Linked DNA regions of Notamacropus eugenii. Each later gene encodes a partner of the first gene's protein in a complex. Links are inferred from orthologs where the notes say so. Each region holds a gene or a part of one and is shown on either strand. Other genes may lie near its edges.

What was found. The genes of interacting proteins can lie anywhere in the genome.
Region 2: SMARCB1 (region 1) and SMARCD2 share a complex: the UniProt entries of both Homo sapiens proteins name them as parts of the BAF complex. The link is inferred for Notamacropus eugenii from reciprocal best matches to the Homo sapiens genes SMARCB1 and SMARCD2.
Region 3: SMARCB1 (region 1) and DPF1 share a complex: the UniProt entries of both Homo sapiens proteins name them as parts of the neuron-specific chromatin remodeling complex. The link is inferred for Notamacropus eugenii from reciprocal best matches to the Homo sapiens genes SMARCB1 and DPF1.

The regions. Positions count from the first base shown.
Region 1 is NC_092875.1:1,882,195-1,889,744, reverse strand, and holds the start of SMARCB1 (SWI/SNF-related matrix-associated actin-dependent regulator of chromatin subfamily B member 1), read right to left. Parts: upstream 3,044-7,550; 5' UTR 2,911-3,043; coding exon 2,818-2,910; intron 1-2,817.
Region 2 is NC_092873.1:343,810,330-343,818,083, forward strand, and holds the start of SMARCD2 (SWI/SNF-related matrix-associated actin-dependent regulator of chromatin subfamily D member 2), read left to right. Parts: upstream 1-4,680; 5' UTR 4,681-4,878; coding exon 4,879-5,094; intron 5,095-7,754. UniProt on the Homo sapiens protein: Involved in transcriptional activation and repression of select genes by chromatin remodeling (alteration of DNA-nucleosome topology).
Region 3 is NC_092876.1:31,450,696-31,458,178, forward strand, and holds the start of DPF1 (zinc finger protein neuro-d4), read right to left. Parts: upstream 3,075-7,483; 5' UTR 2,863-3,074; intron 2,824-2,862; exon of another isoform or gene 2,630-2,823; 5' UTR 2,554-2,629; coding exon 2,469-2,553; intron 2,354-2,468; coding exon 2,192-2,353; intron 999-2,191; coding exon 871-998; intron 274-870; coding exon 184-273; intron 1-183. UniProt on the Homo sapiens protein: May have an important role in developing neurons by participating in regulation of cell survival, possibly as a neurospecific transcription factor. Belongs to the neuron-specific chromatin remodeling complex (nBAF complex).

The DNA.
Region 1 (7,550 bases):
GGAAGGAGAGAGAGTCAGAGAGGAGATGGAGGGGGAGGGGAGACATAGATGGAGACAGAGATGGAGACGGAGACAGAGATGGAGACGGAGACAGAGACAGACAAGAGACAAAAGACGGAGACAGAGACAGACAAGAGACAGAGACAGAAACAAGCGACAGAGACAGAAACAGACAAGAGACGGAGACAGAGACAAGAGATGGAGTCAGAGACAGACAAGAGACAGAGACAAGAGACAGAGACAGAAACAGACAAGAGACGGAGACAGAGACAAGAGACAGAGACAAAAGACAGAGACGGAGACAAAAGAAAGAGATGGAGACAAGAGATGGAGACGGAGACAGAGACAGACACGGAGACGGAGACAAGAGACGGAGACAAGAGACGGAGACGGAGACGGAGACAGGAGACGGAGACGGAGACGGACACAGGAGACGGAGACAAGAGACAAGAGACGGAGATGGAGACAAGAGACGGAGACAGAAACAGACAAGAGACGGAGACAGAGACAAGAGACGGAAACAAGAGACGGAGACGGAGACAAGAGACGGAGACAAGAGACAGAGACAAGAGACAGAGATGGAGAAAAGAGACAGAGACAGACACGGAGACAAGAGACAGAGACAGAGACAGACACGGAGACAAGAGACGGAGACGGAGACAAGAGACAGGAGATGGAGACAGAGACGGAGATAAGAGAGAGACAAGAGACAGAGACAGAGATGGAGACAAGAGACAGAGAGGCGGAGATAAGAGAGAGACCAGAGACAGAGACGGAGACAAGAGACAGAGACAGAGATGGAGACAAGAGACAGAGAGGCGGAGATAAGAGAGAGACCAGAGACAGAGACAGAGACAGAGACAAGAGACGGAGACGGAGACAAGAGACGGAGACGGAGACAAGAGACGGAGACGGAGACAGAGACAAGAGACGGAGACAGAGACAAGAGACGGAGACAGAGACAAGAGACGGAGACAGAGACAAGAGACAGAGACAGAGACAAGAGACAGGAGACGGAGACAGAGACGGAGATAAGAGAGAGACAAGAGTCAGAGACAGACATGGAGACAAGAGACAGAGACAGAGACAAGAGACAGAGACAGAGACAAGAGACAGGAGACGGAGACAGAGACGGAGATAAGAGAGAGACAAGAGTCAGAGACAGACATGGAGACAAGAGACAGAGACAGAGACAAGAGAGAGACAAGAGACAGAGGCAGAGGCAGAGATGGAGACAAGAGATGGAGATGGAGACAAGAGACGGAGACAAAAGACAGAGATGGAGACAAGAGATGGAGATGGAGACAGAGACAGAGACAGACACGGAGACGGAGACAAGAGACGGAAACAAGAGACGGAGACGGAGACAGGAGACGGAGACGGAGACAGGAGACGGAGACAAGAGACAAGAGACGGAGATGGAGACAAGAGACGGAGACAGAAACAGACAAGAGACGGAGACAGAGACAAGAGACAGAAACAAGAGACAGAGGCGGAGACAAGAGACGGAGACAGAGACAAGAGACAGGAGACGGAGACAGAGACGGAGACAGAGACAAGAGACAGGAGACGGAGACAGAGACGGAGATAAGAGAGAGACAAGAGACAGAGACAGACATGGAGACAAGAGACAGAGACAGAGACAAGAGAGAGACAAGAGACAGAGGCAGAGGCAGAGATGGAGACAAGAGACGGAGACGGAGACAGAGACGGAGACAAAAGACAGAGACGGAGACAAAAGACAGAGATGGAGACAAGAGATGGAGACAGAGACAGAGACAGACACGGAGACGGAGACAAGAGACGGAGACAAGAGACGGAGACGGAGACAAGAGACAAGAGACGGAGATGGAGACAAGAGACGGAGACAGAAACAGACGAGACAGAGACAAGAGACGGAAACAAGAGACGGAGACGGAGACAAGAGACGGAGACGGAGACAAGAGACAGAGACAAGAGACAGAGATGGAGAAAAGAGACGGAGACAGAGACAGACACGGAGACAAGAGAAGGAGACAGAGACAGACACGGAGACAAGAGACGGAGATGGAGACAAGAGACAGGAGACGGAGACAGAGACGGAGATAAGAGAGAGACAAGAGACAGAGATGGAGACAAGAGAGAGGCGGAGATAAGAGAGAGACCAGAGACGGAGACAGAGACAAGAGACGGAGACGGAGACAGGAGGCGGAGACGGAGACAAGAGACGGAGACAGAGACAAGAGACGGAGACGGAGACAGAGACAACAGACGGAGACAGAGACAAGAGACAGAGACAGAGACAAGAGACAGGAGACGGAGACAGAGACGGAGATAAGAGAGAGACAAGAGACAGAGACAGACATGGAGACAAGAGACAGAGACAGAGACAAGAGAGAGACAAGAGACAGAGACAGACATGGAGACCAGAGACAGAGACAAGAGAGAGACAAGAGACAGAGGCAGAGATGGAGACAAGAGACGGAGACGGAGACAGAGGCGGGGGCCAGGAAGAGCTCGGAGAGGGGCGCTTCCCCCCCTCCCCCCGTCCCTCTTCTCTCCCCTCCCCCGCCCTCAGTCATCCGGCCAGGGCTGGTCGCCCCCCCACACCGGCGAGCACTGATTAAGCGCCCACTGCATGCGGGCGCAGGGACCGTTTCCAGAACGCTCTTCCCCCTCCCACTCTCCCCACATACCCCCCTCCGGTCGGCCCCGAGTCCCCCCAAATCGTGGGGCTCCTCTCCTCCTCCACCCCCGCCTCGGAGTCAGCCACGTGGCCCTGGCCCCTTCCTCCCCCTCCCCGCCGGGGCCCACTGGGACCCCGGGGCTCATCCTCACCTCGGACCCGATCATGTAGAACTCGCCGTCCTCCTCCAGCTGGAACTTCACCGGCTTCTGGCCGAACGTCTTGCTCAGAGCCATCATCATCATCGCGCCGAGGCCCGGTCCCCACGGACCCAGGCCGTCCAGCCGCCCACCGTCGCCCGCTCGGACCCCCGGCCGCCTCAGCCGCCGCCCACACCCTCCAGGCCAGGCCGCGCCGCTCACTGCGCAAGCGCGCGCGGGGCCGACGGCGGCGGCGGGGAAGCGTGCGCGTGCGCGCCTCTCCTCGAGCCGCCGGCGCCTGCGCGCTGCTTCCGCGCGGACCGCGTCCGTACGTGCCGACGTCTACGCGCCTCCTCCGTGCTCGCGCCGGGTGTGCGTCGGTTGTGCGTCCTCCCGGGGCGGTGCAGACAAAGAGCCGGGCCCGCCCTCAACCCCGCCTCCAACCCCGCCCCCAGCCTCCAGTCCGGACTCGGACAAAAGAACCGGGCGCGGCCCCCTCGCCCCGCCTCCCCTAGCCCCGCCCCCGGCCTCCTCCTGCCCAGGGCAAGTACAAAACAACTGGGCGTGGCCCCGCCCCAGTGACCACGTGGGGGCCTTAGAGGCTCGAGGACCCGTCCCCGCAGCGGCCTTCGAACAGGCTGTGGACACATTGCTTCCCTCCCCGCATCCCTCTTCCTCGCAGCCAGGCCCGGCGCAAACAATGGTGTCTGGGTCTCGTTGGGTGCTGACAGAGGGGTCCTTCCCATACCCCCGCCGGAGTCAGGCTCTCCAGGCATCCTGGGTGCCTGTGCCTGGGGGGCCTTTCCAGCCTGGAAGCAGCCACGAGTGGACAGCTGTCACGAATGATGGGAGGAGAGGAGAGAATGAGAGGGAGGGGGAGAAGGAAGGGGAGGGGAGGGGAAGGGAGAAAGGAAAGAAAGAAGGAGAGGAAGTGGGAGAGAGATCCCCGCTGTGTTCAAGAGGGAGGAAGATGAAAGGGAGAGAATGGAAACTGGCTCCTGGATGACCAGAAGCCTCCAGTGTGGCCCCTGGATCCCCCCCTCAGAGAACAGTGCGCAATGGCCACGCTGAGGCTAGGCCACGTAGACCCAGTGACTCGGAGGTCCCCAGCTGTTTGCAATGATGATTTTTGCAATTTTTTCCCATTTTTCTTCAGATTCTTGTACTCCTCCCACATTCATCCTGGAATACTGGGGTGACTTGCTTAGGCAATCTCATCATGCTTCGTTTCAACTCATTTTAACTTCCAGTCTTCTCATTCTTTATGAGACAATATTCTCATAACTGCCTATCATCTCTCCTAAAAGGAATTTTCCAAGATGATTTTCTGTTTGGGGCAGCTATGTAAGTGGCTTCGCAGGTATCAGAGCACTGCACTGGTATGGAGAACACTCACATTCATTTGTTCACATCCAGCCTCAGACCTTCCTTTCTTCCTTCTTTCTTATTAGCTCTCTCTCACTCTTTCTGTCTCTCACTCTCACTCTCTGTCTCTCACTCTCTCTCTTTGTCTCTCTCCATCTCTCTGTCTCTTTCTCTCTCTCTCTGTCTCTCTGTCTGTCTGTCTCTCTCTGTCTCTGTCTCACTCTCTGTCTCACTCTTTCTGTCTCTCACTCTCACTCTCTCTCTGTCTCTCACTCTCTCTTTGTCTCTCTCCATCTCTCTGTCTCTTTCTCTCTCTCTGTCTCTCACTCTCTCTTTGTCTCTCTCCATCTCTCTGTCTCTTTCTCTCTCTCTCTCTGTCTCTCTCTGTCTGTCTGTCTCTCTCTGTCTCTGTCTCACTCTCTTTCTCTCTCACTCTTTCTGTCTCTCACTCTCACTCTCTCTCTGTCTCTCACTCTCTCTCTTTGTCTGTCTCTCCCCATCTCTCTGTCTCACTCTCTGTCTCTCTCTTTCTGTCTCTCACTCACTCTCTCTCTAACTCTTTCTGTCTCTCACTCTCTCTCTGTCTCTCACTCTCACTCTTTGTCTCTCTCTCTCCATCTCTCTGTCTCTTTCTCTCTCTGTCTCTCTCTCTGTCTCTGTCTCACTCTCTCTGTCTCTCTCACTCTTTCTGTCTCTCACTCTCTCTCTGTCTCTCTGTCTCTCTGTCTCTCTCTGTCTCTCTCACTCTTTGTTTCTCACTCTCTCTCTGTCTCTCACTCTCTCTCTTTGTCTCTCTCCATCTCTCTGTCTCTCTCTCTCTGTCTCTGTCTCACTCTTTCTGTCTCTCACTCTCTCTCTTTGTCTCTCTCTCCATCTCTCTGTCTCTTTCTTTCTCTCTGTCTCTCTGTCTGTCTGTCTCACTCTCTCTCTGTCTCTCTCACTCTCTGTCTCTCTCTGTCTGTCTGTCTCTCTCTCCTCTTTCTCTCCATGTCTTTTTCTCTCTCCCTCCCTCCCCTCTTCTTTCTCTTTCCCAGTCCACTCAGAGTATCTCAACCTTACCTGTGGGTGCTCTGCTCAGAGAGATGGAAATGTTTAATCTCTGAAACATTTTTATTCTTTTCTCTTAAAGACCACATCACTCGGGCTCTCATGTATTGATCAACAACAGGTCCCAGGTCAATCCCTACTTGGTCATTATTTTGGCTCCTGATTGGCTCAGAGTGAACGTAAATAGCAACTGTTACTGTTTTGGCCGGAAACCCTGAGGGTCTTCCCCTCCCCTCCCCAATCTTTTTTTTTTTTTTTAAGAGGCCATTCTCTGCCTCATTTCTTACCTAACCTTAATCATTGATTGGGATTGCCTCAGTCAAACTGAGACCTCTTTTAAGACCTTACTTTTAAAGGTCAGGATCTTCCACTGCACCCTGGGCCATCTGCAGTTGACCCGGATGCCTCCAGAGGAGAAAGTGAGGCTGGTGATTTTGCCCAGCCCTACTTCACAAATCCAATTCACTTGCACATCATGGCATCACATTCCTGGAAAAGGAAGGGCAAACAGCAAGCTCACTTGTAAAACAAGCATTGGAAGGATCAGATGAGATCATATTTGTGAAGTGCTTTGTTCAACGTCAGGCGATCCGGAAATGCTATTCAAAATCCATTACTGCTCAGATTTCTGAATGAAATTATCATCAGTGTCAATGGCCTTCCCAGTGGCCATCTTTCATTTCAATCACTTGTTCCGTGCTTCCAGGCCCACCACATTTCCTTTTTCTACAGTTTTTCACTCCTCTGCTGAGCCTTTGATGAGCTGACTACACAGACAGCAGCAGCTGTCTCTCATGGTCTGGCCAAGCTCTTCTCCCATGTTACACTGAGAGCACCAATGGGTGGGTAAGTGCATGCTGGGCATGAGCCAGCTGCCACATGGTGCCAGTGAGGAGAGCCAAGGGAGGACAATGGGAGTTAAAGGCAATGGCTGCCAGAGGAGAAGCCTGGCTGCTTCCACAAGGGCAGGAGGACATGTCAATACCAGCCAGCTCCACTGGTTCCTCCCAAGGTCAGGAGAAGTAGGAGAAGGCAGCCAGCACATCAGATCCCTCTTTGGCTTCAGCCTGTCTCATCAGAGGGTCTTCACATTAACGAGATCTCCACTCCTTCGGCATAGTTGGTATTTTGAGTGCACATCATCCTTCCAGATCAAACACGAGCCCAGTGACATTTCTGCCTGTGTAACCTCAATGTCCAGGGTGGTACCTGGCACAGTCACCCCTGAAGCCTGACCTCTTAATGGGTTGTATGACTCGTACACTGCCCTCCCTGTACCAGCATCTTGTTCCTTGTCCTCTCATCAAGTCCACCTGGCCAATCCCCCACCTTGCCCAAGCCAGACTTCCTCTGCTCTGATGTTGGTGCTGCTGGAGGCAGGCTGAATGGACACCCCCCCCCCCACTGGGGGATTGTTATCTCACCTGTTTGGGGCTCCTGCCTGGGCCACCAAGCCCCTTCCTTCCCGCTGGGGATCTCCCCTTCTACTTTTGGGAGATGCCATATGCCAAGAGCTGTCTGCGCCAGGCTCTGGACCTCCTGGCCCATCACCATTGATCTGCATTCTTCCTCATGCCTCCAACTTCCATGACATAGCCCTGCTGCTGCCTCCTCAAGGTCATGCCTTTTCTCACTTCCTTATCTCCCATCTCCATCGGTTGGTTCTTTCCCTGTTGCCCCTGAGGCCCCTCACTCCCCAGATTTAAAGCCTCCTCATGGACCCGCCTCCTTATTACCACCAGACTCTGGGAAGGTGACTGCCTTCATCGCTCAGTTCCCCACACCTCCAAGATTACTGAAGATCTCCATGATGGCTCAGTCCAAAGACCTCTCTCTCCAGGCCTCCCTACAATCATTAATGCAGCCGCTCCTGCCCTCAGCAGCACTACCTGTCATTGGCTTCCATGGGCCTGTGTCTGATGGGTGGGAACTAGCAGTTACCTCCTCCGTGTCTGACCCCAGACTGTAGAGGCTCACAGTAGCCAGGAAAATCTGTGGACAATTGACTCCTTGGCCACACTTCTCCAGCCTGTGTTTGGGATCTTGGTTTTTTGGACCCATGTGAAGGATTTTACATTGGGATCCAGACTGTCATCTATGCTGTTCGAACCCTGACTCCTACCCTTGAGTCTTCATTGCCCCACATCCCTGAGCAAGGCCTTCCCGGCCTCTACCAAGCTTTGTTTGCCCCTAGTGAAAGGGGGCTGACCCCACAACCACAGACTTGTAGGACTGTTGTGACAAAAACCTTTACGCTAAAAGGACTAACCAACTTACTGTGTGATTGTAAGTCCCTGCCTCTCTCTGGGGGCTGCACTAAATGACCTTGAAAT
Region 2 (7,754 bases), on another chromosome or scaffold:
GTCAGACACGACTGAACAACAACAAATGTTAAATATGTGGCATTAGGAACGCCCTCCACAAAGGTCTAGCTCAGTATATCCAGTCTTATATCTCAGCTAGCAGTGATTTTCAACTCTGGAACTAACCAAAAAGTTATTTGGATGGTGGAAAGGCAGAAAGATTCAGTGGATCCAAGACTCAAAATTGTTAAGAATTTCCATTCTTAAGTATGTTTGGCTTGACTTCACATGTGTAATTGATAGCATATTCTTTGCCTTCTCAATGGGTGGGGAGAGGCTGGAGGGAGGGAAAGAACTGGGAACTTTTCATCAGCTGAGCATGCCCATGAACAGAGAACTCTATGCACATGCCAGCATCACACAGAACTAACACTCTATAAATATTGTCAAATGGCAGCAGCTTTCTTTCTTTTTGAGTCATAGGCCAGTCACAGTCTGGTGAAGCCCATGGGCCCGTTCTCAGAATTATGTTTTTAAATACACAAAATAAATACATAGAATTATACAGGAAATTAATGATATTGAAATACAGATATCAAAACTTTTTAGAAACAGGCCCATAGCCCCCTGGTTAATAACCAATGATATATGACATTGAGACATGGAATATAATTGCCTCTGAATAACTAAAAATTGAGTATTTCATAGAGCAAGTGTGAGGAATCTGAGACCTCGAGGCCATATGTGGCCCTTGAGGTGCTCAAGTGTGGCCCTTTGACTGAACCCAAACAGGAAGGGAAGGGAAAAAGGAAGTGAAGGGAAGGGGGAAGGGAAATAAGCATTTATTAAGTGCCTACTATGTGCCAGGCACTGACTTAAGCAAATATTATCTCCTTTGAGTCTCACAACAACTCTACAAGGTAGGTAGTTATTATGCCCATTTTACAGTTGAGGAAACTAAGGCAGAGATAAGTGACTTGCCCACAGTCACATGGTTAGTAACAGTCAGAACTTCCTGATTCCTGGCTCTATCCATTGTGTCACCTAAATACTGGGAGCATCTTCTGTGGAAAACATTTTTTAAAAAATTAAAATTTTACTCTGAACTTAAACATCAAACAAAATCGGTATTTCCCATCTATACAGTAGAAAAGAAAAAGATGTGAAACTTTTACAAAGGAATATTTGCTTCAGAAGATAATCAAAAACAGACAAACATACTCCCCCAGAACATGTGAAAGGCACAATCCTCCTCCTCCCCTAGGCCACCTCAGTCTGTAGGGAGAGGAAGGGGATTAGGTTCACAGCTTAACTCAGTTCCAATGAAAGACAGTGCCAGTTCCAAGTCCAATACCCTCCTGTGGGTCAGAAGCCCAGGCATCATGACTCTTGGGGTTTCCCTGCCAGTCTGCTTCACCCCACCTGCAACCCTGGCTCCCAAGGCACCATGACTGGCACTCAGAGGCCCAGAGAATCACCTCTGACAGGTACCTGAAACTGAGAATAACAGAACAGAAACCAACATGCTCAAGACCATTTCTCCAAGCTGGGTCATGGGTTTACTTTATGAAAAGAGCACCACAGAAAAATGGTGGAGGAGAACCTGGTCTGTTCCTCTCACCATTTTAGACTCAGGTAAGAAGATTACTCCACCCAGGTGGAATTCCATGTTAGATAGCTTGGGCATATTCAAAGGCACACTCCATGTTAAAACTGGCCATACTCAAAAACTCAGGCTGCACACGAAACTGCAGATCTCTCTTATAAACTGCCTATTTTTCTTCTAAAATATATAACTTCACCCAGCACCTTTCAAAGCTGCCCTACTTGTCCGGTCTTCTTTTCAGCCTGCCTTCTTTTCTCTCCATTTTTGAAAAAAAAAAAAAGCCTCAGTGGCTTTTATCTTGGTTTTTTGTTCTTTTGGTCATCCTATCTCTATCTTCATTTGCCCTCCTTTCTCCCCAGAATGCCATAGGAAAAATAAAATAAAGCCTCTAGGACAAATATGCACAGAGCACATTCTGGGAAACATGGGGGCAGCAAAAATCTCACAAGATGTTCATGGACGGGTTGCAATCTGTATTGTTGAAAGGAACTTTTGAATCCAAGAAGTCATAAAACTATTCGATAAATTCACCCAGAATTCAGAAAAGAAAGAGCTCAGAATTGACCATTTATATCTTAAAGAAACAGAAATGGTATCTGAACTGAGGAATTTAATCTATGGTCTTATTTTATTAATTGTCAAACCATAGAATACTGGGGTAAAAGTTGTCATTCTTCTTTTTCTAGAAGTGTAAAATAAGGAACAAATAAAAGTTAAAAGATTTTACTCATGTCTTGTGGTCACATTAACCCTTTTCTCTCATAGAAGGATGGATTTTGGGTAAAGACTGAGGATGAGGAAGAAGGCCTTTGACAACTTCTCAGAAAGAAGGCTGCCGATCAGCAATCTACCAGAGGAATATAAGAAGCCAAACAAGTACTAAGATGGATTAGCTCTTGGGAGGAGGGGAAACCAGCAGTTTCTGTTCAGCCAAGCAGTTTGTGAAAAGTACCAAAGAATTGTAGGAAAAAGGTAATACAGAGGAACAAGAATCACCCCAGTGGGAGATCACACGGGCATAGATTTAGAGCTGTACGCCATCCAGAACAGATTTAGACTTTTAAAGTTAACCAGTGAAAAATTCTGTCCGCCTCCAGATAGAGAACTGATGGAAGCAGATTATTTTCACTCCATGAGTAATACGAAAATGTTTTGTATGACTTTATAAAAAAAGAGTTATCTAGTCCAGTCCACTTATTATATAGATGAGGAAGCTAAGGTTAAATAACTAATCAAAGTCACACGGATAGAAAGTGACAAAGCTGGCATGTGCACCAAGTTCATGTTTAGATTAAAACAATGAAAAGAACAGGTACCTAGATACTGAACCAGTTAGTGAGTCAATGAACATTTATTAAGCATCTTCTGTGCCAGGCACTATGCCAAGCGCTGGGGATACAAACAGGAAAATCAGTGTCTGCTCTCTAGGAGCTTATAATCTAATGGGGGAAAGTCTACACAAAAGGAAGCTACATTTTCTTTTCTATCTATATGGTTGCAGTCACTGTGCATTTTGTTTTCCAACCTCTGCTTACTTCACTTTGCATCAGTTCATGGAAGTCTTTTCATGCTTCTATGTATTCATCACAACCATAGGTTTCCCACAGCACAATGCAATTCCAGTATATTCACCCACTACAATTTGTGGAACCTTCCCCAGTCAAAACGTGGTTTCCAGTTCTTTGCTACCCCATGAAAATCAAATTACTTTAAATGCCGTAAGGGAAGATTGATGAGATGCTTCTTCCACCAACACCCTTTACAATGCATGTCAGAAGTTGTCTTCTTGTGTGTGTGAAGGAATCCTGCTTTGAAGCAATTCAGGCTGCCAATAATTCTCTGCCAAGCAGGGTTAGAGCCAGGATTAGAACAAGAGGTGAGTTCCTTCTGGAATCTCCATCTTGGGGAATGACCCTGACCAGAGACTTCTCCACCTCGCCCTCATGTCCCAAGGGCCCCCTTCTCTCATTAACTCCTTCTTGAACCTCCATTTTGAAGAGACTCAAACCAACCAGCCAACTTTCATTCTCTTTCTCCACTCCTCCACCCCAAGCCCCTGGGCACCCCCAACCCCTTCAAACTCCTTTCCCTGTTAGAGAAACAAAAGCAGGGCAGTTAGGAGCCTCAATGAATAGAGTGCTGGACTTGGAGTCATGGAGACCTGAGTTCAAATTCAGCCTCAAACGCACAGTAGCTCAGTGGCCCTGGGCAAGGCACTTCACTTGTTTGCTTCAGTTTCCTATTTCTGTAACGGGATGTCATGAAAAGCACTTACCTCCCGGGTGGTTAGAAGGATCACATCGGAGTGCTATATTAAAGGCAGCATTATTATTATTCATTAAAATGTAGTAAGTTCCTTGAGGGCACTTGTAGCCCCAGGGATGTAGCACAATGCCTGGCCATGGGAAGGGCGCAAATGCCCGCTGACTTAATCTAATGTGAACAGGCAATCAGTCACGCAGAGATGGGCAGCGGGGGCACGCGGAAGTGGGGGAAGGAGAGCAGCCCCCCGCAGCAGCCCCTCCAGCCCTGCCGAGACTGGATGGGCTGGTTTGGCGGGGACCTTGGTGCCTGGGCTGTCTCTCCCAGGCTGGGAATGAATGGGAAACCTGCCCTCGGCCACCCCCACGGGTCTCGGCCCTTAAGCTAAAGACAGTGACATTTACTAGGAGTTGATCAGAAGGCGGTGAAGGTGCGCGATAGCTTCGGGGTCTGCTCGGGTTTTTCCCCTCCTCCTGTCCTGCAGGGGGCGGGAGCACAGCTAGGAGGAGGAAGATGCCTCCGGCGGTCTCCCGGTTGGGGGCGGGGGGAAGGAGGCGGGGTTCTGGCCAAGGGAGGGAGGGAAGCCGGCAGTTAGAGGCGGTTCTCGCGAGGGGCGGTATTTGAGGGGTGTCCCTGGATTGGGTGAGACATGAGGTATAGGCGGGGCCTAGTCGGGGGCTGGGCGGAGTCAGTAGTTTGTTGCTGTCAGCGGGAAGTGGGGACATTGCTGCCCCTCCTCCACTCTCCACCCCCCCCCCCCCCCCCCCACTTCCACCGAGGGCTGAACTTCCAGCGGGTGGGTGCAGTACCGAGCCCAGATCAGGATTTCTCCGCCTCCTCCCCTCCCAGCCCAGGAGCGGAGCTAGGACTGACCCGATCCATACCGGATCAGTGCAGAGTTTAGAAGCCGGATCAGGAAATCTCGGGTCCCAGACCGGGAAATCCCGGAACCTGGATCAGTAAAGCTCGGAGCTCGGACCCGGAAGCCCCGGAGCTCGGATCGCGGAGGGGGTTCCTTGGGCGCGGAGCCCGGAACCTGGATCGAGGCTGAGACCAGACGGGACGGAACGATGTCGGGCCGCGGCGCGGGCGGGTTCCCGCTGCCCCCGCTGAGCCCCGGAGGGGGGGCGGTGGCGGCGGCCCTGGGGGCCCCCCCGCCCCCCGCGGGGCACGGGATGCTGCCGGGAGCGGCGTTGAGGGGCCCAGGGCCTGCAGGAGGCGCGGGGGGCCCCGGGGCCGCAGCCTTCCGCCCCATCGGGCCCACGGGACCCGCGGCGCAGTACCAGGTGCGGGGCCGGGGGCCGGGGCTGGGGCGGCGTGGGGCCCGCCGGGGCTCTGGTGCAGGGGCCTGGCAGAGGAAGCGGGACTCACGGTGCCAAGTTCAAGGGTCACTCCAGCCAGGGGTCAAGGCCAACTACAGTTAGGGTTGGGGGGCGGCCCTAGAACACAGAACACCAAGTCCGGGGCTTCCCAGGCCAGTGGCTTCCCAAGATAAGGGCACCATCATAGGGAACTCAGAGGTCATCCAGGCCTGCATCCCTCAATCCCCCATTTTACAGAGGAAGAAACTGAGTCCAAAGAGGTTAAGTCGCTTGGCTGAGGTCACATAGATAGTAAGTGTCCAATCTGAACCCAAGCCCTCTGATCCCCAGGCCAAGCCCTATGGGAAGGGCAGGTGGGTATGGAATGGGGGTTGGGGGAGATTTGGTGCACGTGTGAACCTGGGTAGGGCCTTCGTGCTAAGGCCAGCCTGCCCCAGGTTGTGGAGCAAAGGGAAGCTAGTTTGAGCACCTGAGAGTGAAATGCCACATTGGCTGATGAAAGGAGTGGGGTAAAAGGGCATGTGTGGAGGTGGAAATGGAAATGGGGCGGTGGGGTGTCGGTGCAGGTGGGGACAGTCAGGGCTAGAAGTGTGAGGTGCTCCTGAACAAAAGGAGGCCCCTAAGGAGTGTGGAGATTGTTGTAGGCAGAAAGAGCACCGAGGCCTTCCATGGGTAGAGAGGAATCCTGGGTTTCTGGGGGGATATGGACAAACTAGGGGAGGGTAGAATTACTTAGGGGTAGGGGATGGCAGCCCCATTGCAGGAGTGAGGTTTCCTAGGAAGATTTTGTTTCAGGCGTTTTCTGTTTTCTGGAGCCATGAGCCGGTAATGTTTTATCTTGCCTTGGCCTGTTATGGTTTTATGTAACTCCCAGTGGCTTTTTTGGAGGGAGAGGTGGTGCTGATGGGAAGCTTAGAATTTAAGTTGAATGGACCTCTTCCTCATGCACCAGGACCTCCAGAGGAGGTCCAGTGGGTTTCCTCCGTTGGGTTTTTCAGGAAATGGGATATAGCTGAGTTAAGCCAGGTAACCAGGATAAGTCCTTGGGAAAGGAGGCCTGGGCCTATGAGAGCCCAGCTCCAGGATAGTTACAGGCAGGCATTCTCAGCACTTCGCTGTCATTGTGTCTGGGAACTGATTGCAGTAAGAGGGTTCAGAGAGACTCAGTTGAGTGCAGGTCTTGGAGTTGCTTGGAGTTGGGCAATCCTAGAGGTCAAAGGTTAGTTACTTCTGCCCCTAGAAGGCAATACCTGACAGGGATTTGTGCTGGGCTCTAGTTAGTGGGGACTTCACACCTATTTAGCCCAGTTCCCCAATCTCTTAGTTGTTTTAGATTGTTTATGAATACTTAGGAGAGTCATATCCTCTCCTATCTTCGTTCTCTACACACATTTCATTTCCGTCCACTTTGGGCTATGCTGAAGACTAAACCACCTACCTTAGCATTGAATTTTCTTTGCTGATCCACTCAAAGTCTTTGGTTGCTCTGTTCCTCTTTTCCCTCCAGGCTGAGGGCATTAGAAGGAAAGCAGCTTACAGAGGTAGGGGAACACCTATGCATTCTGCTAGCACTCTCAGATGATAACTGTTAATAGCATTTTCCCCCTTCTTACCTTTCCCAGTTGATTGGATATGATAAGCCATATTGACCCTAGTCTCAAGGCCTTGAGGGAAACAGGTCCATCTTTCCTACCTCCTGCCTTGCTCATGAGGACTTTTAGAGCCAAGACGGTTCCAGGAAGATCCAAAAACAAACCAGTTCCTTGAGCCTATCATCTTTGACATGAATTACCAGTATCCTAGGCAGCTTCAAGCCTAGTATGGATTCAGGGCTAAACTTTTTTTTTAAACCCTTCCCTTTTTGAGATGATTAAATGGCATTGAATTATATTCCCTCTCAACTTTCTCTCCTCCCCTTCCTTCCTACTGTTGGGAGCCGTAGGAAGGGTTTACTCCAATATGGGATTCATGGAAATAGCCTTGAACATGGCAAATACAGAATCAGCCAGACTATTTAGTTCACAAGACTTTAGGGAATCAATGGTCCCTTGCTCCTGAGGGAAGGGCAGATCTGGATCTAGGGGAATTTGGCAGGCAGTGACGGGTGGGGACATTTTTCTGGACCACTGGCCCTCCTTGTGCCTAGACCACGATATCTAGGGGATAAAGAACTTTGTGATGCGGTATCAGTACTACTAGGAATGTCAGATGAGCTAGGGGAATAGGGACTGTGAGTGTCTGTGGTGAAAACTGAGGAAGGAGTTAGTGGGGGCCTGTTGAAAAATGAGGAACTTCTCAGTGACTGTTGGTATTTGGACAGCTCAGCAGTAGTATCCTAAAGACAGTGACGTCTGTTCCACTTTCATCTGAGACCTTTTTGGTTAGACATGACATGCAGGATCACTAAAGTGCATTTTGTCTCTTACAAAGTTACTGTTTGGAGCATCAGTCCAGAGGTATGTTGTTCCTGGGCTTCATTCTCTACCCCTGACCAGCCAGTCTTGTCTCAGTCCTTATTCTTGTTAAGTGATAAGGGCTGAACCAGTTCTTGATTCTGGCTCATTTTCAGTTCAAGGAAGGTGATATATCTCTGATAGTCCAGATAGTTAGAAGGTGGCATTGGT
Region 3 (7,483 bases), on another chromosome or scaffold:
AGGTCTGAGGCCCCGGATGAGAGCAAAGACTATGGAAAATGGGCCAAGGGTAAAAAGACAGAGATGGGCTCAGCAGATAAGAGAATCTGGCTCTATGGGCGGCCCGGGGAGAAGCTGGGCTCAGGCCTGGGAGGGGAAGGGGGAGGGGGAGCAGGGGAGCAGGGGGAACCGGGCCCCAGCTACCTTCCCCTTGGCTTTGCTCTTTCGGCGAGGAATGTCGTCTTCCAGGTCCTCCACCTCAAGTTCATGGGGAAATTCTAACATCTGTTGCTTCTGGGCAGGAGGAAACACAAGTTTTCAGGGAAGGGATGCTTGCTGAGGCTTTAGGAGTGGGCAGCAGCATCAGGGATGGTGGAAGAGAGACCTCTAGCTGGGGCTGCCCCCGAGTTGGGTCTCCAAGGAGGGCAAGGGGCAAGAAAAGGACTCTGTTAGAGTGAGGGGGTGGGGAGGGAACCTTCCACACCAAAAAAAAACCCAACTCAGGGTGAGAATATAGGATAGAGAAGGCGCTGCAAGGCTGAAGGAACTAGGGGAAGGGGATTGATGTAGGAAGGCTGGGGAGGACAGAGAGGAGGGGACAAAGACTCAGAGGCACTCGAGTCTTAATTTCGAGAAGAGAGCCCCTGGGAGTGTGGAGACCTCTGAGACTGAAGGGTAGGCTAGGGATGCCAATTCCTTACAGATGTGGGGAGTCAAGGGAGTTTTTGGAGCAGGAGACAGACATGAGTGACACTCCCAAGTGTCATCTCAGGAGGATGGTCAGGGTGGCCTTCCTCATATGTGCTGGAGGGGAGAATGTGGCTATTCCAAAAGAAGTCTGGAGGAGGGATAGGGGCAGGGCTGGAGGGCAGGCCCCCCACCCCACCCCACCTGACAGTCCATGATGGTTTCTTCTTCCTTTAGTTCTATCTTCTTCTCTCCTGTCTCTGCACACAGTAGGGCCTCCAGGACTGGCCCTTCAGGGAGACCCCCTTCCTTCTTTAGGGGTGTTTCACAGTCTGAGGGAAGGGTGGAAAACAGGGAGGGTCAAAGAAATGTTGTTTGCCAAGGACCCCCTTCTGTCTCCTCTCTTTCTCTATCTTCTCCCTCTTCCTTTTCTCTCTCCTCTTTCTCCATCTCTTTCTCCCTCTCCCTTTCTCCCTCCTCCCTGTCTTTCTCTCACCCTCCTCTTTTCTTCCTCTGCCTCCCACCCTCTCACACACACATACACACATCTACCCAACCCCCAACCCACCCCATGGAGTCTCTCTAGACAGTATGACCTGAGTCCTGACCTAAAACACTGGGGCACTTTCTGAGATGCTCACAGCAGTGCATACTAAGTCTGGAACTAAGGCAGACATGCTCCCATGGGCCACCCCTTAGGGACATACTCTCAGAGACTCACTGAGGCCCTCAATTCTGAGTTCTCATACACTCAGTTGCCATCAGCCACACGGAGACACCATCACAAGCATGGCTTTGCACAGAGTACACATGTTTGCCGAATGCTTTCTCAGCATGTAGATTTCACCCTGCCAGACACCACACAGACACACAATCACACAGATACACATACAACCATGACACAAGCACCGAGACACACAATCATACACACAACCACACATAATCACACAGACACAATCACAGATACAATCACATACAACCACAGGCACAGACACAGCCATACACACATAACCACACAGATACACAATCACAAACTACCACAAGTCACACAATCACAACCACACACAGACACACAATCACAAATGCAACCACATTTGCACAACAGCTTCCATCTAGCTCTTGGAGATGTTTTACATACATTCTCTCATTGGAGCACCTCAAAATAACCTGTGGGGTACATGCTGTTTTACAACTGAGGAACTTGACTTGCCCAAGATCTCACCACAATTGTCTGAGGCAGGATCTGAATCCAGATCTTCCTGATTCCAACACTTTTAAGTCATTCTGATTCTTAGTCACAGTCAGGTGATAGGTTACCACACAGATAAAAGGGAACTCAGAGTACTTGAGTTCAAAACCTACCTCCCTCGGTGGCAAGGTCCCTAGGTCCCTGTCAGTCTCATTCTACGCTGTCTCTGACATCAATAACAATTTGCGCCCCGGGTGCCTCCCCCCCCCCAGACTCAATACCACCAACACAGGCCCCGGGGGCCGCACACGCTCAGACACAGGCTCAGGTGCTCACGCTGGGCCACGCTCACACTGGGGGCAGGGGCTGGGCTGGGGGCCCCCCACGGACCGATCTTGTACTCGCAGGGTCGCAGCCTGGGGTCCTCCAAGATGTTCAGTCTTCGCTTCTTCCTCCAGCAGCGGGCCGGATAGGTGTAGATCTGTCCAGGGGCCAGTCCTGGAGAGGAGAGGGGCAAAGGTGGGGAGACTGTTGAGGCATCTGCCCCCCTCCCCTTCCCCTTTCCTCCTCCCTCTCCCCATCCCTCCCAATCAGGCGCCGCCGCTTTCCTCACCGGGCCCGCGGTGGGTCTTCTCCATCCAGATGTAGCAGTTGTTTTGGGCCACCCCGGTCTGCGAGTCGAGGAAGGGCAAGCGCATGCTCCGCTCGGCGCACAGGCGCGCGTTGTAGCTGCGGCAGTGCTCGATGGCCTCGCGGTAGAAATCCTCGCCCAGGCTGCGGGGAGGCAAAGCAAGCAGGGTCAGCCGAGCAGACGCCTCTGGGTCTGAGCCTGGAGCCCTCGAACCTCTGGGAATGCCCCGGGACTTCGGGGGACGCCGGAACACCTGGGTCCGGCTCGAATGTTCGGGTGGACCCTGGGCCTCAGTTGGGTTGGGTTTAGGGAAGGCGCTGGGACACTGTGGCCCAGTCACTGGAGGGTCTGGGAGTCACTGAAACGTGGGAAGTACCGAAATCTCCGGGTCCAGAGTTTCTGGAGAAAGCTGGAACTTGGGGAGGGTGCTGGAACGTAGTGGGGGGAGGGGGGACTGAAAAGCAGGAGGTGCCAGAGAGTAGGCGCTGAAAAGCAGGGGCTTGGGCCTAGAACATCTGAATTGTGCTGGTGTGCGGGGAAGTGTCCTGGAACGTCGTGGTAGCCCTCAAACTTTGGGGAGTAGCTGGCATATTTGGATGGGAAAAAAAAGAGGAGGAGCTAAAGTCTGGGATGCCGCCGGGGCGGATGTTCAGTGGGCGGAGAGAGGGGTAGAGCCCTTCCCTCCCCTAACCAGGCTCAGACAGCTTGACCCTCTCTCCCCCGCGGCTGAGCGCTAGGTGGTGCCCACGCCCGCAGGCATCCCCGGCAGCGCGAATGTCCCGGGGTGGGGGTGGAGGGGGAGTGAGCGCCAGCACAGTCCCTCCCCCCACTTTAGTTCTTCTACAACGCCCCCCACAACACCATACACCCATATATTATACACCAGGTAGACTACCTCTACACTCCTTGGTGTACTACCCGGAGGACACAAAACCAGATACAGTTACCGCCCTCCCCCCACCCTAGCCTCACTTCCCCCCTCCCCCAGGTATGTCGAAATGGAAGGGATTTTGCAGATCAGCTAATCCGATCCCTTTGTCTACACAATCCCAAATACGGGTCAAGGGGGTCACCAAATTACACACTGACAGCAAAAGAAGACAATTCCTCTCCTTTGGAACGGAGACAGGTAGCGGAGGAATTCGCATCCCCATTAGACAGATGAGGACACTGAGGCTCCCCGAATGACAACCACACCAAAGGCCTTGTACACAGTAGGTGGTCGATAGGCGTTTGTGGAGTTGTTTTGGAATATAGATTAATACAATGCCACTTGAAGATTCACGGAAGACCAAACCACTGATAACACAATCCAAGACGAATGCACAAATCTCCGTTACACACACAGCAACACGAGACAAGCACACAATTACAGGAGACACAATCACAATTCCCCCCTACACACACACACACACACACACACACACACACAAAATCCCACTCCGAGACACACGCTCTGCAACCCCCGCCCTGTGGGATGGGATGGGGCGGAGGTGCCGGGCTCACCACCGGACTGGGCTGGGGTTGACCGTGGCCATCTTGCACCTGGCCCGACCCTCGCCCGGGTCACCTCAGAGCTTCGGGGTCTGCAGCGCCCTGGCCCTGGCGGCCACTCCATTCATTCTCAGGGTGGGGGTGGGGGCGGGGACATCAACCAACATGGGGGGGGAGAGGGACTCCCCGGGGCATGCTGGGAAATGTAGTGCGGGGGTGGCGGGGCGGAAGGTGGAGGAGGGGGTCGGTGCTGTCACTAGAGGCCAAATCTAGGTCTGGCCCCGGGAAGGAGAGGCCCTGGCAGCTCGTGGGGGAAGGGGACAGAGTGGTGTGAGGCCTGGGCCAGGTGAAAATCCGGAGACAGACTCCTATTTTGGCACTAACGTGGGCACTATGTGTAGTTAGACCGTGTGTGAACCACATATACCTTTACTTACACCCAGGTTCGGCTACCACACACAATCCACAAGTACACAACACGCAGTAAACACATAATACAGAAGCATACAACACAATTATGCTGATACAACTCTACACCACAAATTGACACCCAGATCACACTGACAACAGGCATACGCACTGGGATACAGAGACAACTGGACCCCACACACACGCACACCCGGAAAGGCCTCCTGATTCACATGCACAGACCCCCCCACACAATCACAGTCTCACACAGGAGCTTACAAGCAGCCGGGGCGCGCACAGACCCGCAGAGCGCGCACACAGGCCACACGTGCTGGCGCGTGCACGGTGGCCCCCCCCACCCCCCCCTTTGGTCGCCCGGCCCCTAGCTTCCAGATCTCGCAGAGACAGAGATAGAAAAGACAGGGATCAGAGACTTCCAGGAAACCCAGCAACCCCCAACCCTCCTGCTGCTTGCCCTCAGTCTCACGCGGCCTCGCTCTGACCCTCACACCCCTTCAACCCCAAGGTCAAGGCCAAGCTCACGGGGTGGGCCAGGAAGGGGGGCTGTCCCGGGGCCCCTTTGTGCGCCTCCGCGTCCCCGACAACTCACGGGCACGCGCCACTCCCCAGCCTCCTCCCCCTCTGTCGGGCACGCGCCTGTCACTCCTGGGGGAGGAGCCTGTGGAGCCAGGGAAAGGGGCGCCCCCGCCCCGTTATACTGGAGGGTCCACAGTGGGGGGGGACCCAGGCGGTTGCGGCTCCCAGTTCCCTTCCCCAGCCTTGGAGGCTGGCAGGTTAACAAGTCCCAGAACCAGTGCCTAGGGTTGGCGGGGATGGTGAACCCCCCCCTCCCAGCCTCCAGCAGATCCACTTCCCTTCCCGCCCCCAGCCCGGACCTGGGGATCTGCAAATTCCTGCACTGAGGGTGGCGACAATAGAGACGGCTTGGAAGGTGGAGGGGGGACAGGTTCAGCTGCCAAACGTGCCCATCCCCCGCCCCCTCCCAATAATCCCCAGCTCCTATCAAACCCAAGGCTTGGGGGATGCGGGGGGGAGGCGGAGGGCGCCCAGGTGTCAGTGGCACCCATCAATCTCCGGGAAGGGAAATGGGGCAGACACAAGGCTCCAGGGCTCCTGTCCCCTCTCTGCCCGCCGTGCCCAGCCCCGTGCCCGGTGGGAGGAGGGAGGGAGGGAGGGAGGATGGGATGGAAGGGGAGACTCACGACTTGAGGGGGTTCTGGATGGCGGTGGCCATGGCCCGCTCCCCTCCCCCGGCGCCGTAGCCACTCGGCCCTCGGGACCCGGCTCCGGCCCCCCGGGGCCCCGCGCTCCGCTGGCCGTGCCCGACCCCCGCCGCTGCTGCCGCTGCCACCGCCGCCGCCGCCGCCGCCGCCGCCGCCGCCGCCGCCTCCTCCTCCTGCTCCTGCTCCGCCGCCCAGCGCGCTACAATTTCATTCATTCTTCGGCTGCGGTGAGGGGAGGGGCGGGGCCGGGGGGCGGGGCCGCGACCAAGGAGGAGGGGGGAGGGGATCAGGGACTGAAGGGGGGCACGGGGGAGGGGGAAAGGGGTGGGCTGGGTCTGCCAATCCTCACACCTCCCGGGGGACGTTGGGAGATGGAGTCCTCTCAAACACCCGGGTGGGGAGGGGGCCAACCTGGGAGAACTCCAAATCCCGACTGCCCTGCGGGTTGCCCACTCCCCCAGGGCGCCGATTGGGCAGCCGAGGTACCGGGCGGGGAGTGCCGAAGGAGGCCGGAGCATCCTTTCCCTGGAGCTCTCCGTCAGGCACAACGTCCCCCTTCCGGCCAAGTCAGGCTACGTGGGGTAGAGGGAATGTATGGGAATCCTGTATCCCCAAGACCTATCCCCAGGAAACCCAGCTCTATAGGCATCCCCGCTCTGAGTTTATCACCCATACCTTATCCCCTAGTTCCTCCTTTCTGAAATTTCCTCCCAGCAGAGCAGCGGCCCGTGCCCGGGGCAGAGATTCAGCCCAGTGGAATGGAAGGGAGTGAAGAGCGCTGAGTTTGAAAGCAGAAGCCCTGGTTTGGAATTTCATCTCGGTTACTTACTCCCTGTGTGATCCTGGACACATTCTTTCTCTTCTCCCCCCCCCCCCCCCCATCAGTTCCCTCATCTGTAAAATGAAAGGGGTTTGAGTATCTAGATAATTCCTGATCTACTTGGAGATCATACCCCTCCTTCCCCCATACCTTGCTCCCTTAGGGAACACTCCAGAACCCAAAACTAAGTTGTGGGACTCACACTAAAGGGATGGAGAAGGTCCCCTAAGGTGAGAGTGGAAGCATGCCCCTGGGCCTGCCTCGAAACTGAACATCCTTAGCCTTTCTCAGACTTCAGGGCTTGTAACAGAATAGACCTCCGGCAGGGGGCGGTCCTGGGAGCTGTCCTCAGTACTGAATCGTCCGAAGCCTTGGAAGAATGACATAACCCTGAACATCTGAGCTGGTAAAGAGTACTTAAGGACCACCTATTCCAACACCTATTCCCCTGCCTAGTTCTCCAATTAAAGAGGGGGAATCGAAGTCCGGAGAGGGAAAACTTGATGCAGTAATAAGCCAAGACGAACTCCAAACTCCAAACCCTGGACTCTTTTCATTCCATCCCGAATCCTTTGCCAGGGAAAGTCTGGAGTCCCCAGGAGGGATTGAGGGAGGAAAAATGAGACAAATTCCCCCACACTGGCATTTGCACTGAGTTTAGTGGGACATCTGAGTCTATGGAGCCCAACTCTGTCAGTGGATTGATGAGGAAAGTGAACCCCACAGAGATCTTTGCCCAAAATCACAGGTTGAAGTAGGTCTCCTGAGACCTCAACCTTGGGCTCCTTGCTACATTAGATTTTCTAAGTGTGTTTCCATGTGCCTGTGTGTCTTTGTGTGTCCACCTCCTCAACCTATATGTGGATTTTTCATCTTAACCTTATATTCTCTCTAGATTCCCAAGGAGTTTAAGAAAGCCCCTTGGCCTGCTGCAGTGCCCAGAGGTCTCCCTCTCCAGAAGAATCCCAGAATTTTTTAGTTGTCAGGAAACTCAGAGTCCATCCTGATTCTGAGTTATCCCTAAACAAGCC